4 linked regions of the Canis lupus familiaris genome follow. The protein of the gene in region 4 interacts with the protein of the main gene of each other region in a biochemical or structural test. Links are inferred from orthologs where the notes say so. Each region holds a gene or a part of one and is shown on either strand. Other genes may lie near its edges.

Evidence for each region.
Region 1: the proteins of MAVS (region 4) and RNF5 form a complex in vitro, tested with the Homo sapiens proteins (2 studies listed by BioGRID, with this or other methods). The link is inferred for Canis lupus familiaris from reciprocal best matches to the Homo sapiens genes MAVS and RNF5.
Region 2: the proteins of MAVS (region 4) and MAP1LC3A form a complex in vitro, tested with the Homo sapiens proteins (2 studies listed by BioGRID and IntAct, with this or other methods). The link is inferred for Canis lupus familiaris from reciprocal best matches to the Homo sapiens genes MAVS and MAP1LC3A.
Region 3: the proteins of MAVS (region 4) and IRF3 form a complex in vitro, tested with the Homo sapiens proteins (2 studies listed by BioGRID). The link is inferred for Canis lupus familiaris from reciprocal best matches to the Homo sapiens genes MAVS and IRF3.

The regions. Positions count from the first base shown.
Region 1 is NC_049233.1:1,703,268-1,707,287, reverse strand, and holds RNF5 (E3 ubiquitin-protein ligase RNF5), read right to left. Parts: upstream 2,834-4,020; 5' UTR 2,669-2,833; coding exon 2,529-2,668; intron 1,648-2,528; coding exon 1,629-1,647; intron 1,534-1,628; coding exon 1,421-1,533; intron 1,305-1,420; coding exon 1,250-1,304; intron 1,173-1,249; coding exon 1,055-1,172; intron 946-1,054; coding exon 848-945; 3' UTR 379-847; downstream 1-378. UniProt on the Homo sapiens protein: Membrane-bound E3 ubiquitin-protein ligase that mediates ubiquitination of target proteins. May function together with E2 ubiquitin-conjugating enzymes UBE2D1/UBCH5A and UBE2D2/UBC4.
Region 2 is NC_049245.1:24,182,706-24,186,319, reverse strand, and holds MAP1LC3A (microtubule-associated proteins 1A/1B light chain 3A), read right to left. Parts: upstream 2,092-3,614; 5' UTR 1,937-2,091; coding exon 1,897-1,936; intron 1,619-1,896; coding exon 1,563-1,618; intron 1,490-1,562; coding exon 1,383-1,489; intron 1,109-1,382; coding exon 946-1,108; 3' UTR 507-945; downstream 1-506. UniProt on the Homo sapiens protein: Ubiquitin-like modifier involved in formation of autophagosomal vacuoles (autophagosomes). While LC3s are involved in elongation of the phagophore membrane, the GABARAP/GATE-16 subfamily is essential for a later stage in autophagosome maturation.
Region 3 is NC_049222.1:107,548,693-107,552,954, reverse strand, and holds the start of IRF3 (interferon regulatory factor 3), read right to left. Parts: upstream 2,833-4,262; 5' UTR 2,596-2,832; intron 1,802-2,595; 5' UTR 1,789-1,801; coding exon 1,624-1,788; intron 939-1,623; coding exon 767-938; intron 682-766; coding exon 611-681; intron 1-610. Other genes in the region: BCL2L12 (bcl-2-like protein 12), read left to right, coding at 2,898-3,036, 3,673-3,787, 3,998-4,140.
Region 4 is NC_049245.1:17,973,585-17,977,638, forward strand, and holds the start of MAVS (mitochondrial antiviral-signaling protein), read right to left. Parts: upstream 2,813-4,054; 5' UTR 2,794-2,812; intron 1-2,793.

The sequences.
Region 1 (4,020 bases), on a different chromosome or scaffold from region 4:
GACTGTGAGAGACACCTGTGTGTAAGAGATGACTGTGTGTGAGACCTGTGTGTGAGAGACACCTGTGTTTGAGAAAGAGATGCCTGTGTGTGACACCTGTGTGAGACACGTGTATGAGATGACTGTGTGTGAGACACGTGTGTGTGTGAGAGACGCCTGTGTGTGTGTGTGTGAGAAAGATGCCTCTGTGTGTGTTTGTGTGTGTGTGTTTGTGAGAGAGAGAGAGAGAGAGAGACGCCCTCACCCTCTGAATCCCTCAGAGCCTTGAAGAAAGCCTTCACACTTCCCCACACCGTGCAAATATTTACTCAAGTTGGGGAGATGCTCCTGTCCTGGAAGGAAGGGGGTAAGGACAAAGGTGGGCAGAGCTCCCATCAGTACATCTCACCTTGTTTATTGAATTTATAATAAAGGAGGTAGTGAAGGGAAGGAAGGACTTAAGAATCAGAACCCATATTAGACACTGGGGAGAGAAAAATTAAGTCAACAGGGGTAAAGTAGGGGAGAGTCAGTGGGAGCCTTGCCCATCTTTCAACATCAAATCAACAAATGTGGGGGAAAGCAAAAGATCAGGAGAGGGAAGAAACAGACATCCTCTTCCGTCTGTCCTCCTGTCCCAGAGCTGGGAGTTAGGATGCTACGCAGCGAGTTCAGGGCAGAAGTTTCTCCCATCCTCTGCACAGATGTCACACCTCCTCCCCACACCCTCCTACAAAGTGGCCAGGGTTGGCCTTAGCCAGTAGAAACGGAGGGGTTGGGAGGGAGGGGCCAGGAGTAAGGAAGGGTCAGCAAGGACCCCCAATACTGATTCTCCTCTGGCTGGAGGTGGGCAGGAAGGAGACAAAGCTCAAATACTGAGCAGCCAGAAAAAGAAGAAGATGGCGAGAAACAGGAAGAGGGAGTCCTGCCAGCTGGAGGCCGGGTGACCCTGTCCCAGATCCACACCTGTAGGAGAAAGGAAAGCTGTGGGAGAAGCATCCACTCCTAGGTTGGGAAAAGGCCTGAGGGGACTCAGAGGGCTCCCTGCTTGGAGCTGAGGGAAGGCTCTTCTTACCTGTACCCCGACGGAATGGCTCATGGGTGTTGAAGACGGTGGTGAAAAAGCCAAAGGGAAAAGCACCAACACCAAATGAGAAGTGAAAGCCCCCGGTATCACCAAATGACTGGAATCCCTAGGGAGGTGGAGAAAGTCAGAGGAGAACTGGGCAGGTCTTTGGCAAGGAAGGAACACAAATCAGACAAGACTCACCCCTCTGCTCTCTGAAGCTGGTCGCTGGCCCTGGGGGCGGGGTGGAGTTTTCAATCTGAGGAATGAGAGACTGGCTAGGGCTAGCAGCAAGGAATGTCCTCTCCCCCTCCACGCCCCACTCCCAGGCCAGAAGCAGTCCATCTTCCCTCAGCACCACCCCCTCTCTCTCACCTGGGATCCTGGGGCTTCTGGCTCCCTCGCCCATAAAGAGGGACAACCTTTTCTCTGCTGATCCCAGCTTTACACACTGGGCACTCTTGCCGCTCTGGCCGGGTCTCCAACCACTGAGGGAGAAAATGAAGTGGTTTCCAGTTCACAGTAGGGTTTTTCAACTCCTCAGACCTCCCCATTTCCCTCTTCATCTCCTCTGAGTACGCACCTGATGAAGACAGGGCCAACTAGATGGGGGGAAAAAAAGAAGGTCAAACTAGCTACAGTAAAGACAGACACGAACCTGACCTCAGAGTCCGATCGCACCCCTCTTCCCAGGTATTACCTGCTGTTTCTTTTCATGTTTTTGACAACCTATTCCATGCCAGCCAATTTGGCCTTCCCACCTCTCTGATCTTACAACGTCTAAAGTAATATTCATCCTCCGAGGTTCAACGCTCTTCTCTCCTTGAACACACATGTCCCCTCCCTTTTCTGCCTCTGAACTTAGTGTCCAGGTCTCTTCAACCAGAGCTTTCTAGATCTCCTGTTTCAGCCCCAACCCCAGCCCTGCCCGCATCACTCCTCAACCAAACCCCCTTTACTAGCACCTGCCCCCACTACTCCTTTTCCTCTCTTCTAGGCTCCATCAAGTCCCTATTTCCACCATCCTTTCATTTCTCAGTGCCCTGGTCCTCAGGTCTGTCATACCACTCCCTACCAAGATCTCATCTGCATGCGATCCTACATTCCCTCGGTCTCCCGTACCCGACTAAGGCGTGCCTCCTCTAACCTTGGAGTCTAATCTATCTCCACCTGTACAACTAAGACCGTCACTTTCCGGGGTAAGGCGGCTGGGGTCTCACCTGGACAGATGTAGTTCCCCCACCACCACCCCGCCCTGCTGCCTCTTAACCACAGCACACCCCTCAGCGCCCAGTTCCTAGGGCTCTCCGCCACACGGCTCTCCTCCGTGGAGATGTGACCCTCTCACCCACACATTCCCAGAGACCTCGGGCCTCGCCCACGGGGATGTGCCCGCCGACTATCCGTATGCGTGCCATCCCGCCCCCAGCCTCCCCAGTAAGGGGCGAGCCCCATTTCTCTTCAGCCCCGGCCGGACCCTCACCAGTACAGGTGGCCACACACGCTGACCACAGCCTCCCGAGCAGTCTCCAAGCATATATTACATTCGAAGGTCGCGCCCGCCCCGCCCCGCTCGCGGTTTGGCCCTTCGGGGCCCCCGTCCTCCTCCTCCGCGGCTGCCATGGCCGGTGTTTCGCCTTCACGTACCCCTCGGTCTCCCCAAACACACACACAGACACACACACGCCCCAACAGCGAGAAACCGCCTCCAGCCCACGACCGTTGGGCGGGCTTCGAGGTTGTCTAAACACTACTGGTCTGGGTGGCTGACAATCACACAGTTTAAAAGCCAGGATTGGCCCAAAGGGTAGGGAGAGGTCTGCGCAGGCCTGCCCTTGCCAGCGACGATTGGCGGGCGCGTCTCCGTCAGGACGCCATGCGACAGAATTGGTGTCCGTTGGACCTGGTCGGGGAGCTTGATTCGTCTGAGTAGCTGCCAGTCAGGGCCAAGGGCCAGAAGCAATTGGTCCGGGACCACACAGGCCCCGCCTCCTCCGAGCCCTTTCTTTGCTTCACTTCCCCTTTCCGAGAACGTCCGGATTCCTATTGGACTTTGGAGCGTAGAGCTCCGAAGCTCTGGATTGGCTGGAACTCGACGGAAGATGGTGGTTCGGCAAAGTGCGCGCGCGCAGCAGGCGGCGGGAAGGGGCGGGCCAGGCCGAGAGTGCTCGGCTTTCTCTGGCCCCACCCCCTCGCCGCGCTCTTGTCGCCGTGGTGACTGCTCTACGATTGGCGGGCTTTGGGGTTCAAAGGCATCAGCGCCGCCTCATCCGGGCCCTCCGACTGCGGTCTCTCCGGGCTGATTGGCTAGTTTCTTGCAGCCCTGATTGGCCGAGATCGGAAAAGACGGCCGAGAGCTCGGCGAGGTAGCAAATGCTATGGTCGCAGGGCTCAAAATGGCTCCGGCCTCCTTCGGTGACGTAGAGGGCAGAACTGGGGCTCGCCCCTCCCTTTCAGTGAAGAAGGGAGCAGAACTGGCATCAGCTCGACGTGTGGGTGGTGCGAGCATCGACCTGCGGCGCTGGTGTTAACCCATCTCCCTCGGCTGCGGGACGCAGCCCGCTCCTCCTTAGGTGACTTGCAGAACAGATCTCAAGGCCCACACCTTTCTAACGTTGACACAGGATGACAGAGTTGACCCCGGCCCCGTTTTAAACCTGAAAAGCGAACTAGCTCCACCCCTTCGTGAGTAGGTGCCGAGGGGGCAAGGCCCGCCCTCCTGAGCGACCCGCGGCGGAATGGGGTTAGGCCCGCCCCTTCCGTCCTGTAGTGTGTCCCGCAGAAGTGGGGTCTTCCTCCTGGGTAGGACCCCCGGGACTTGGGCAGGCCCGAGCTTGGGCCTTCTCTACAGTCAGTGACCTCACTGTGGCCCAAGGAGCAGAACTAGGTAACAGTCCTCCCATACCAGTGTTCCTTACATCCTCGACCTCAGGGCGTGTAAATTCTAGCAGGGCGAATGTGTGTCTGGCAGCGGG
Region 2 (3,614 bases), about 6.2 Mb from region 4:
GCACAGGGCTGCATGGACTTCAGGGGGTCAAAGGGCCAGAGGCTGGGCCCAGCCCTCTAGCCAGAGTTCCCAGCAGAGGAGTCCTCAGGCAAATGAGGTTCGAGTCCAGGGTTACAAATCTCTGGCACCAGAGGGGAGCCATGGCTGGCAGCAAGGCCTGTGGGGAATAGCCAGGAGCAACTCCACTTGGACCCCCACTTTTTGGCTCTGCATACCAGGGAACCCCCTCCATGCTGGAAAGGGGAAGAAGCAGGTGAGCAGGATTTGTTAGGTTGTGGCTACTTAATAAATCTTTTTTGTTATGAAATCTATCCTGGGCCCACACTGAACTCCTGGAAAGGGTGGGCTTGGCCCCTTATATCACCACGGTATACCACACACTGGTGCGAGTTTCCAGAATGAGCCCCAAGTCCACAGCACACAAAGCTGTTCCTAGTGAGCTGAAACTAGTATGAGACAGTGCCACCCGAAGCCCTACCCATTCCCCAAGCAGCTGGAAGCAAAGGGCCAGGCAGGCCTGAGCAATCTTTATTCTGCAGAGGAACAATGACCACAGATCCATACACCATGTCAAGATCAGGTGAGCCAAGGGCCAGTCCTTCAGGGGTGGGCAGGTCCAGGCAGGGGGGCAGCGCCTCAGGTGAGGGAGGGGCAGATGGGCAGGGGCCTAAAAAAAAGATAAATCACACGAGCAAGAGTGCTGGGGGCTGTTCCCCACCCTCCCCCATCCCAGCCAGCACCCAGGAGGGCATCCCTAACAATGACTGGCCCAGGATCCACCCAGGGGCAGAGTAGGTGCAGTTGGTGCCCCCTGGCTAGGGGGCCAGCATCCCTGCCCAGCCCAGCCCGGGCAGAGCAGTTCAGTTCAGGAGCCAGGAGTTCCCTGGGCAGAGCCTGACAGGGCACCCCCCCACTCCCAGGCCAACCACCCCCCCTACTGCTGGCTCAGAAGCCGAAGGTTTCCTGGGAGGCGTAGACCATGTAGAGGAAGCCATCATCATCCTTCTCCTGCTCATAGATGTCCGCGATGGGTGTGGACACGCTCACCATGCTGTGCTGGTTCACCAGCAGGAAGAAGGCCTGCGTGGGGTTCAGCTGCAGGCGGCGCCTGGGGTGGGCAGAAGAGCAAGCCAGTATGAGGGGACCTGGCTCCTGGGTGGGTGGAGCCCTACACCCCCCTTCCCCCCAAAGGATTGAGGTGGCTTCACACCCATCCCAGCCCCTTCTAGGAGCCCTCACCTCTGACCTGACACTGATCCCAGCCCTGACCTTGACTATCCCAACCTCTCCAGAACAGAGATTTAAGGCCAGGCCCGGCCTGCTGGGGCCTCGCCCTCCCCCAGAAGGACCCAAGCCCCTTCTGACTGCTGCTGCCCACACACCGGATAATCTTGACCAACTCGCTCATGTTGACATGGTCTGGGACCAGGAACTTGGTCTTGTCCAGGACAGGCAGCTGTTTCTCACCCTTGTAGCGCTCGATGATCACCTAGGGGTGGGGCGGGGGATGCGTGAGCCCGGCGGGGCCTGGGGCCGCGGGGATGGGGGGTGGCGGGACTCACCGGGATCTTGCTGGGGTGCTGGTCGCGGATCTGCTGCACCTCCTTACAGCGGTCGGCTGCGGACAGAGGGCGGGCAGTAAGGCCGCGGTCCCGCTCGCCCTTCGCCCCGCCTGTCCCCGGCCCCGCCCCCCAACCCCCGCCCCCAGGGCCATCAGGCCCTAGGGCCTGGCACCCGCCGGCTGGGAGGCGAGGTCCCGGCCCAGGCCTGAACCTGCCTCACGGCCCAGGGGTCCAGCCCGAGTCTGACGTCACGGGGCTGACGTCGCCTGCGGCAGTGAGGGTCAGTCTCGCGGGGCCCCCTCCCCGCGCCCGCTGGCCGCCCGCCGGGCCTCACCGAAGGTCCGCCGCTGCTTGAAAGGCCGGTCCGAGGGCATCGCGCGGGCCCGGCGGGGCGCGCAGGCCGGGGCTCCGGGGCGCGCGGCTGGGGGCTTTGGCGGAGGTTCGGGGGCTCCGCGCCTCGCGCTCAAGGGCTCCGGGGCTCGAGCTGAGCCTGGCGGCGGTGGCTCGGGGAGGTAACTCGCCCGGGTGACGTCAGGTCACAACATTCCTTAAAGGGGAGGCCGGCGCGCCACTCCCATTGGGCCGACGCAAAACCCTCCCGCCCGGACCCGTGACGTCACGGGACAGAGCTGGATTCCCGGTCTGGGCCGCGAAGGGGCGGGGCTTCCTGGGCACGTCACAGTCCGGTGATGTCATGGGCTGCCGCCCCCTCTCCCCGAAGCCGGGGTTGAGCCACCTCTCGGCTCCCGCAGCCCGAGAGCCCGAGAGCGAGCGGGAGCCAGAGCCAGTCCCCAGATCGGCATCTTTCCGTTCCCACTGGTGCCAAGTCATCCCATAGGACACTCGGAGTCTGTTCTGTTCCAGCAACGGTGCGAGGCACCGGGGGTGACAACAGTGAACCCAAAGACCTTCTCGCCTTCGTGGAGCTCATGATTAGAGAAAAAAAAGCTAGGGTGAGGGGATTAAAACATGAAAGAGCAAGACACTAAAAAGGAACACAGGTTTTAGAAGGAATTTCTAGAATTAGAAAAACTATTGAAATTCAGGTCTCAAAGGATGAGACAAAAAAGTAGATTAGATATAGAAGATAAGCCACTGAACTGGAAAATAGATCAGAAGCAACTCACCAGAGAAACTAGGTGATGGGCAATGTAAAAGAGGAAGTGAGTCTTCTCACTTCAGTCCTATCACAGGCCCAATCAGAATTCCAGAAGGAGAGAAAAAAAATGGGAGAGGCAGTACCTGAAGAAGAGCTTACAAACTTCATTAAAGACCAGGATTCTCACATAAAATCCAAAGCGGGATAAATAAAAGTAGCATTTTGGCACTTTGTAATGAATTTGCAGAACTCCAAAGAGAAGATAGAAAAATGGTGAGCAACTCAACTGGCAAACATGTGAGTAGATCTAAAACACAGTGGAACATGAACAGTGACGGTTAATCTGTGGAGTACAAAACAAGAAAGGACACAACTGGTAAGACTGGAGAGGGCAATCAGTTCAAGTGTTCTAAGATGCCTGATTTGAGGGGAGAAAGATAAAGATACTGATAATTGCCCAGCTTTGTAAACCAAAGTGTGTATTTCAGACACTTATGAGGGATCACTAAAGAATGGAAAGTGTAATGGCCAAAGCAGGAAAGGAGAAAAAAAGTAGTTAAAAGAATGGTAAATGATACAAAATCAGAGGTAAAAAAGATTTTACATTCACCTATTAAAACAGATGATCAAAAAAATTTAAAAAAATAAAACAGATGATCAGGGCATGTGGGTAACTCAGTGGTTGAGTGTCTGCCTTCTGCTCAGGTCCGGATCCTGGGGTCCTGGGATCGAGTCCTGCATCGGGCTTCCCACAGGGAGCCTGCTTCTCCCTCTGCCTATGTCTCTGCCTCTCTCTGTGTCTCTCATGAATAAGTAAATAAAATCTTTAAAAAATAAAAATAAAAAAGAAATATACAAAGTGAGTAGCTATATACCTAAAAAAATTAATCCAGATGGTTTTCTAAGTGAACTCCTCCTACTCCTCCCAAAAAAACCTGCAGTAAACATCATAC
Region 3 (4,262 bases), on a different chromosome or scaffold from region 4:
CTCTCATGAATAAATAAAATCTTTTAAAAAGGGGGCGGGGGCTTCCAGTTGGGGCTGGCAGGGAGGTGGGGGATAGGAGGTAGGTAGACAAGCATGGGCACAGATGACAAAATATATGCTCTGGTATATGATGGATGCTACTATTGGCCCAAGGGGAACAGCTAGTTCCAGCCCAAGGACCTGGCCCTGGGCAAGCAAGACCTGGGCAGAGAAGGCTGGACACTATTTCAGAGGGGACCTGCCCTGGCATGGACGTCAGCAAGACCAAGGATAGGGTGGTTCTGGGTTCCCAGGAGGCTGAGGGTACTCTACATAGCAAGAGAAACTGTGAAATTCTAGAAAGGTGTATTAGGGCCCTAAATGCCTTGGTGAAAGCTCTGCATTTTTTTCCTGAGACACTGGAAGCATCCATGGAAGGGCTCGCTATGAGCAGGAGAGGGACAGGGTCATCTCTAGATGAGTGGGTGGACAGCCCACAGGGGATAGGATGGAGGCTCAGGAGGAAGATTTGATGTGATGGTCCAGGGGGAGGAGAGGAAGCCTGAACAAGGCTGTGGGGACACAGAAGATGGGTCATCCTGAGGGCAGGAAGGATGGGGTGCATTCTTGCCTGGGTATCCGAGGTACTGTATCTGCCATTGGTGTCTGGAAAGGTGTCCAACTCAGGCAAGTTCCCAGCTCCTGCCAGGGAAGGTGGTGAGTGGAGCAGAGTGTTGGGGATGCTCAAAATCCCATCCCTCCACATGGAGCCCCACTTCTGGCACACCTGAGATCACAAACTCATAGACCTTGTGTGGGTCGTGGGGGTCTTTGCTCCGATCTTCAGCTACACGCAACTCCTCCTTCCGGTTCAGGGCAGATCGGAAATTCCTCTTCCAGGTGGGCAGATCAGGTTTATCCTTTCCAGGAGTGTAGGCACCGCTGACCTCGGCCCACGCCTGGGGATCCAGTTGGTACCAGGATGGTGAGGATGACTAAGACCCCGGCCCAAGGGCGCTCTCCCCTGGCACGTTCTAACTTGACAAGGATCCATCCCCAAACTCTTGGACTCTGCATCGTAAGCACCCTCCCACCCCCACCCCCCCCCACCCCCCCGCTTCACCTATTCAAAAACTTTGCTTTCTAAGCCAACCTTCCAGGTCCTACTGGGCGTCTAACTCTGCCAGCAACCTGCCCCAGGACAGGTTGTAATGGCCCCGCCCCCTCGTACTCGAACTCGGGTTACCACCACTGGTGTATCCGAATTTGGTGGGAAATCACCTCAGCTTTGGGGCCAGGTCTCGCCTCGAAGGTTCCAAAACCAGCCCTCAGAATTCTACGACCCAAAGCCCCGCCCTCTGCGAGCCCTCAATCCCCAGTTTGCATTTCTCTCGAGTTCTAACCCCGCTTTTCCGGTTCTTTTTCCGGAACCTGGCCGTTCCAGCCGTGCCCGCCTTGCGACATCCGTCCGCTGATCCTCCTAACCCTGCCCAGTCCTGTCCTAACTCCACTCACCTCCACCTGCCACCGTCAGCGCCGGCCGACCCTACGCAGGCTAACCCCTCCCTCTCGGCTCCGCCCCCTGGGAGTCCACCCCTCGGGTAGGTTAGCTCAGGGCTCCCCGGCGGCACGAAGCTCTCGCACCTGGAAGATGCCGAAGTCCTCCTGCTGGGCATCCTGCCGCAAGCCATGCTTCCAAGGGATGCGAAAGCGCGTGCGGCGCTCGTCCAGCCAGGCCACCCCCTCCAGCTGCCCTAGGTCCAGCTGTGACACCAGCCAGGGCAGGATCCGCGGTTTTGGGGTTCCCATGGTCCGGCCTGCGCTTAGAGGGCAGTTCGTGGGCGCGGATGGCCTCTTAGCTACCCGCCCCCACCCCCGAGGGTTCCGCTCCCAGACCTTCCTCTCATGGGGCGGCGGTGCAGCGTCCCTCACTTATATTTTCCTGGGGTATAAAACAAGACAACTCCTCTTTTCACCTCCAGACAGTCCCCCAAGTCAACGAGGACTTCCCGCCCAATCCATTTGAGACGGCCCGTCTTTCCCCACCTCCTCCTGAGCAGATCCTCTACCTCCCCAACTCAGCCAGGGTAGATTCTTCCCTCTTCCGTTGTAAACCCTCTCCTCCCCTCCCCTCCCCCACATCACCTAAGGCAGTCACCTCCGCGTCCAAGGTAGAGACTCCCCTGGTTATTTCAGGGCAGACGTTATTACCTTGTAGATCTCTACCTCCCGCACTTATCTGTGTTGCGGACTCCTACAGAAGAGCCCCTCACCCATTTCCACGGTGGACCCTCCATCCACCATCCTTCCCCCCAAACAGCTTCCTTCCTCTAGGGCACCCCCCCCCCACACATACTCTATAGAGTGGACTGCCTCCCATTTTCAGAGTCTGCTCTTCTCTGCCTTAGATCCCCCCATGCAGACGCCTCCCCCCCGCCCCCGCTACTACTTTTTATTTCACAGCCGACCTCCGGCAGCGGCCATAGCTTCACTTTTACTCGAACTCTGCTTCACCTTCCCTAGAGTACACCTTGCTCCTCTAGACTCAGGGCAGACCCAGCACGTCTCGCGTTTCTCGCCCCGGGCGCCACCAATTCCCCAGATCTTCCCAGTTACCTACGTAGAGGGTCGGGGCGCTCAGGGTGCTAGAACCCGCCCCTGCCTTTGGGGTCCGATAACTCTCGAACTTGCAGCTGCACACCCTACTTCCCGTCAGCTGAGCTTCAGAGAAAGAGGGTTTTCTTTTCTATCGATTTCATAAAACAAAAACAACTTTATCTGCGATTGGTTGACAAGACTCCAGAGCCAAAGAGGCGGCACCAAGAACCCGGACGCCCCCGGTTCTCCCCTCCCCCCCCGCTATGCCCTTTATAGGTCTTCCGGCCAAAGGCATGCTGGGAACGCCACATGCAAATCAGATGGGTATCCAGCGCTCCGCCCCTCCCACTACGGGGCTGACACCAACCCGGCCCAGTGCGCAGGCGCGGGAAAGTTGCACTAATAAAAGTTTGCTCAAGTTCGGTGAAGGAGAGGGGGTCGGCGGCTTCCCGGCCCCAGGTAAGCTGGGCTTTTGTGCAGGCTGGGGCGAGAAGGGAAAAGGACGGGTCTAGGAGCGGGCACCTCAGTCCCGCTTCCTGGACATCTATGCACCCCGGGTCCCCAAGATTCCAGCGTGGGTCAGATAATGGAACTACACTTCCCAAGGAGGCTGCGCGGCGCACAAGTGCGGACCGAGGGGAAGGTTTGCCATGAAGCCTGCTGGGATTCGTAGTTCCTGATTCTCTAAGAGCATGAGCGGCTTGGCGTTATGCCTCCAGAAACCAGAAGTCGTTGCCCCAAGTTCCGTTCTTTCTCAGACTCAACAATTCAGATCCTCCAGCCCCCTTCTCCAAAAAATCTTCAGAGTCCAGCCCCCAGTCTTTTGACCCCAGGAACCCGGGTCCCTAAGCCTCTTCCTCTCCAAGGATCAAGGAGTCTTCGGCCTCATCGCTCTTCTCCCTCTGAGAACTCAAGAGTCTGGGTCCCCAGACCCTAACTCCCCTAAAGGATTTAGGAGTTGAGACTCTCACCCCCTTCTTCCTTCGGGAATTCGTGGGTCCTGGCGCCCTCCTTATTCAGGGACTAGGCATTTGGGCACCAATCCTCCACTTCAGTTCAACCCTGGAGCCCATCCCCCAGCTCCCTTTTTCACAGGTGCCCCCATGGCAGGCTCAGAAGAGCTGGGGCTCCGGGAGGACACGCTGAGAGTCCTAGCTGCCTTCTTTAGGCGAGGTGAGGCTGCTGGGTTCCCCAGCCCTACCCCACCCAGGTAAGAGGAGCTGCCTTCTTTCCGCTGGGGCCTGCATTTGGGGTGGGGCCCTCTCTAACTTTTGTACCTGGTCTCTGTCTGCGTTCCCCTCTTTTATATCTGGCCCTTTATCCTTGTCCCTGGGGTTGCAGTGACAGGCCCTCAGTGGGAGGAAGAAGGGACTGCTTGCAAGGGGCCTCTGCAGTCATTCTCTGAGGTCCCCTTCCCCAGGAGTCCTGCCCAGGAGGAGCCAACAGATTTCCTGAGCCGTCTTCGAAGATGTCTTCCCTGTCCCCTGGGGCGAGGAGCAGACCCCCCTGTGTCCCCTCGGCCTTGCTCCTTGCCCCTCCGCCCATGCTATGTTTCAGAGCCTGGTAAGAGATTTTCCTAGATCACCTGGACACCGGCAGGGCCAAAACTTTGAACCTTTTTTTTTTTTTTTTTTTTTTTTTAAGATTTTATTTATTTATTCATGAGAGGCACACAGAGAGAGGCA
Region 4 (4,054 bases):
AGGATCATCCTACTTTAAAGGTCAAGAAAATGAGGTACCAAGAAATTAAGGGGCTTGCTAGTTAGCAGAAGAGCAAAGATCAGAGGTCAGGTCCTTTCCAGAACATGACCGCAAGCCCACCATTAAAGCTTGCCACATACATGTTCTTAGGATAGGAGGCTAGTTCCACTCACCGTATGATCTAGGGCAAATTACCGGCTTTCTACAGTCTTCTCTTTACCCCTAAAATGACTCAGAGGGCTTGTTTTGACAATACAGTAGCTCAACTGCATAAGCCTGACATTTACAAGTGCCTCAATTACTAGCAATTGCTACTACTTGCTTAGGTAGGACTTACCACAATTTGCAATTATAGATGGGGTTGTCTGTGAGTTCCTTACCTGCCTCCCCCTCAGGGAGAGCTGCAGGGAATAAGAGGGACAAGATCTCTGCCATCATCCAATTTATATTCTATTGGGGTGGGACAGATAACAAATCAGTAAACACGTACATAAATAAGAATTCCAAATAGTAACCAAGTTATGAAGAAAATAAACCAGGGTTTTGAGACAGAATCCCTGGAGAAGGACGTGCTGCATGAACAGAGGTGGTCAGGTAAGTCTTTCTGAATTGGTGACATTTGAGCTGAGCCATTCTGAGCTGCAAGATCAGCATTTTGGGCGGAGGGCACAGCAATTTAAAAGTCCTAAGGTGGAAATGACCTTGGCATGTTTGAAGAACAGAAAGCAGGTCTGGGTGGTCCAGGTTTAGAAAGCTAAGGGGAGGGGAAGGGATCAAGGTCAAGGAGGTTCTGAAAAGTGGTGGCTCATGTGCAGTGTTGCAGGAAAGGACTCTGGGGGTTGTTATTTTTGCTTTGGGGGGTTTCTTGGAGTGAAATGGGAAGCCACTGGGGGTTCTGAGCAGAGAAGGGAGAGGATCTGACTTATGTTAAAGACCTCTCTGGTAGTTGTGAGGACCTGGATTGTACAGAGGCCAGGATGGAAGCAGGGAGACAATTGGGAGGCTGAAGCAGGGGGCCACAGGATGGGTATGGCCAGAATGCTGCCCATGGAGATGGTGAGAGGTGGCTGGATTCCTAGTGGGTCCTGGATGTGGGAAGTGAGGGAGAGAGAAGAATCAAGGATAACTCCTCAGGCACTAGGTAGATGGATGGTGCCATTTAGGCAGGCCAGAGAACCTGGTGGAGAAGCTGTGGTGCAGAGAGGATTCCAAAGCTCCATTTTGATCAGGTGATCATAGTGTCTCAAGTCTGAGACACTATGACATGTCCAAGTGGGTTTTCTGGGAAGAAAGGGGTCAGAAGAGGAGCCAGACTGGAGCAAAAATGTGGGTGTGTGGCTTGGGTGGGACTCTAGAAGATAATGTTGCAGAGCAGAGCTGGGGCCACCAGTCTGTCACCCATATGGGAAATGGGGCAGTAGTCCTGTCTGCTGGCCTCATAGCCTCATGTGGCATGCCTTGCTCTGTCAGCCACCAGGTGCTACATTATTGGTGTGGCAAGTGTCAATGACAGAAGTCAAGAGGTTCAAGAAGATGGGGCAGGGGTCCTCTGAGCGTTCAGGAGATGAGCAAAGAACTCTAAGGTGGCTAAATGACGCTTTTCTCCTTTCTTTCCATGGCATGTGGGGAGGGACAAGGATAGAGTCAGGTGATACATTCTTCTGCATCTGAGCCGCAGCCCTAAGGACAAGAGTTTGGGGGGTATGGAAGTAGAACATGCTCCAACCAAAAAGGAAGGAAGCCCATATTTGTTCATATTTATTCATGATCTACTATAGGCAGGCACATTCTAATTTTCTTTCCTTTAGGAGAGGAGAAATGATGCTGGGTTGTACAAACAGACCAGTGGCCCTAACAGGATTTGAACCCAGGACTTGCTGTCTCATTGCAGTTCACCATACACCTTACAGAACATAGGGGCTGCTGCAACAAGTGAGACTCACAGCCCCAGAGGGACCAAGGCCACTGCCTGGGTGAGGGGAGTCCTCAGATGGGGGTGTGCCAGGGAGGCTGAAAGACGTAGTCCCTTCTCTTGTAGGAATAGTATGTAAATCATTCAGACAAGGCTGACTGCATGCTAACCTGCCCTGTTCGGCAGTCGCAGTTCTCAGATCGCTGACTGTCCTTCCAGAAGTTTTTAAGGCTCCACAGCGTGCACAGAACGTCGTTTTTTGGTTGTGTTTTTTTTTCCCCCAATGTTTTCCTAGCAGCTCCTTCCGGTCTCAGAGAAGGGCGGACTGACGCTGCGAGAAGTTCCTACCTTGAATGCCCCGGACGCGCTGAGTGCGTCCCGGAAAGAAATAACCACCCGGAGGAGAGAGGCGAGGCCTCACTGATTTGGCTCCAATTCCTGGAAGGAACCAGGCCCGCGGAGGGAGGGAGGGAGGCTGTTCTGGTCAGATGTCACCACCGAGAACTGTCAAGGCCCGGGGGAGGACGGCGGCCTCTAGGCGCGGCCGCAGCTCCGGGAGGTTAGGCCTCGCCCCAGGGTCACCCCCGGCCTGCGGGGCGCTGGAGGCACTCAGCAGCCAGCGCCTGTCTGCTCCCCCAACCTCCCCTCCCGCCCGAGCACACGACCCACGCCCCCCCGCCCCGCCCGGCGCTGCCGCGAAGCGCGGCGCCTCGGGACCGGCTCTAACCCAGCCCCGCGCAGCCAGTCCCGTCCCCGGACCCCCGTGCGCCCCGGTGGGCTCCGCGTCCCGCTCCGCTCTTGCCTCCGCTGACCACCGCTCCGAAAGCCATCGGCGCGCCCAGAGCCCAGGGGACCGACCGCGCCCGGGACGGCTAACTTACCTCGGTAGCCACTACCCGGCTACCCGCGGACCTCCGCAGACACCCCGGAACCCTCCCCTGCAGGAGGGGGCGCGGCAGAGAGGGGCGGGACCGCGAGGCCATTGGCCAGGCGGCGGGGGCGGGGCGTGGCGGCCAGCCTGAGCCACTGGGCCGCGGGGGTGGGCGCTTGGCAGTGGTTCGAGGGCCTGGACCCGCGGGACAGGCGCTCCGGGCAGACCTAGGCTCCTGCTGGGGCGCAGAGGATCAGATTATTTTGTTTGTCCAGAACAAACTTCCAGGGGAAATACAGAATCTGGCTAGAACTCAAGTGGCTGACCGACCTCGGAGTCAGTGCTCGGCTGGGTCCCCATGCTTCCTACGCCAAGCAATCACTCCTCCTGAGTAATTTGAGGGGGGAGGGTCTTTATGGCATTTGTACCGGGGCACCCAGGGCCTGGCATAAAGTTAGTGCCCAATAAATATCGAGTGATACGCAAAGTGCACAGGAAGCGACACCAATGCTGGGCCTGAGGAAGCAGGATCACAGTGCGAGGAGGCTGGGTAGGTGAGAGCAGGGCAGGGGCGCCAAGTTCGGGCTGCCCAGACTGCTGGCTGTGGGTCTTGAGTGCTGTGTGGGAAAGGCTTCTCTGCCCAAGGGTCTGGACCAGGTACCTCCCCACAGCGCCTGCCAGCTGCCTGGCCCTTCCTCTGTTTGGGGCTGAGGCCAGCAATTACTGAGCCTCCCACTGTGTTCCAGGTACAGGCTTAAAGTCTTATACCTTAGAAGCCACTAAATACTCAGACAATCACCAGGTAGAGGTTTATTTTTCCTGGTTTTAAGAAATATTAAAAGATTCAGGGGTGTCTGGGTGGCTCAGTCAGTTGAGGGTCTGCCTTTGGCTGGGGTCATGATCTCAGGGTCCTAGGGTCAAACCCGCATCTGGCTCCCTCCTCATCAGAGAGCTTGCTTCTCTCTCTCACTCTGCTGCTCCCCCTGCTTGTGCTCTCTCTCTGTCAAATAAATGAATAGAATCTTAAAAAATAAATAAATAAAAGATTCAGAAAATGGCAGTTCTTAAGTGAAACCTATGCCAAGCCTATCACCCAGCCACCACTCCTAGGTGTGTGTCACATGCACAATAGCTAATATTCATAGTGGCTTTGTTCACAATAGGCAAACTCTGGGAACGACCCAAAGGTCCATCAGCAGAATAAAGAGATAAACTGTGGTGTGGTCACATTGTGGAATAGTATGCAGCAGTGAAAAAGAGCAAACAATTCA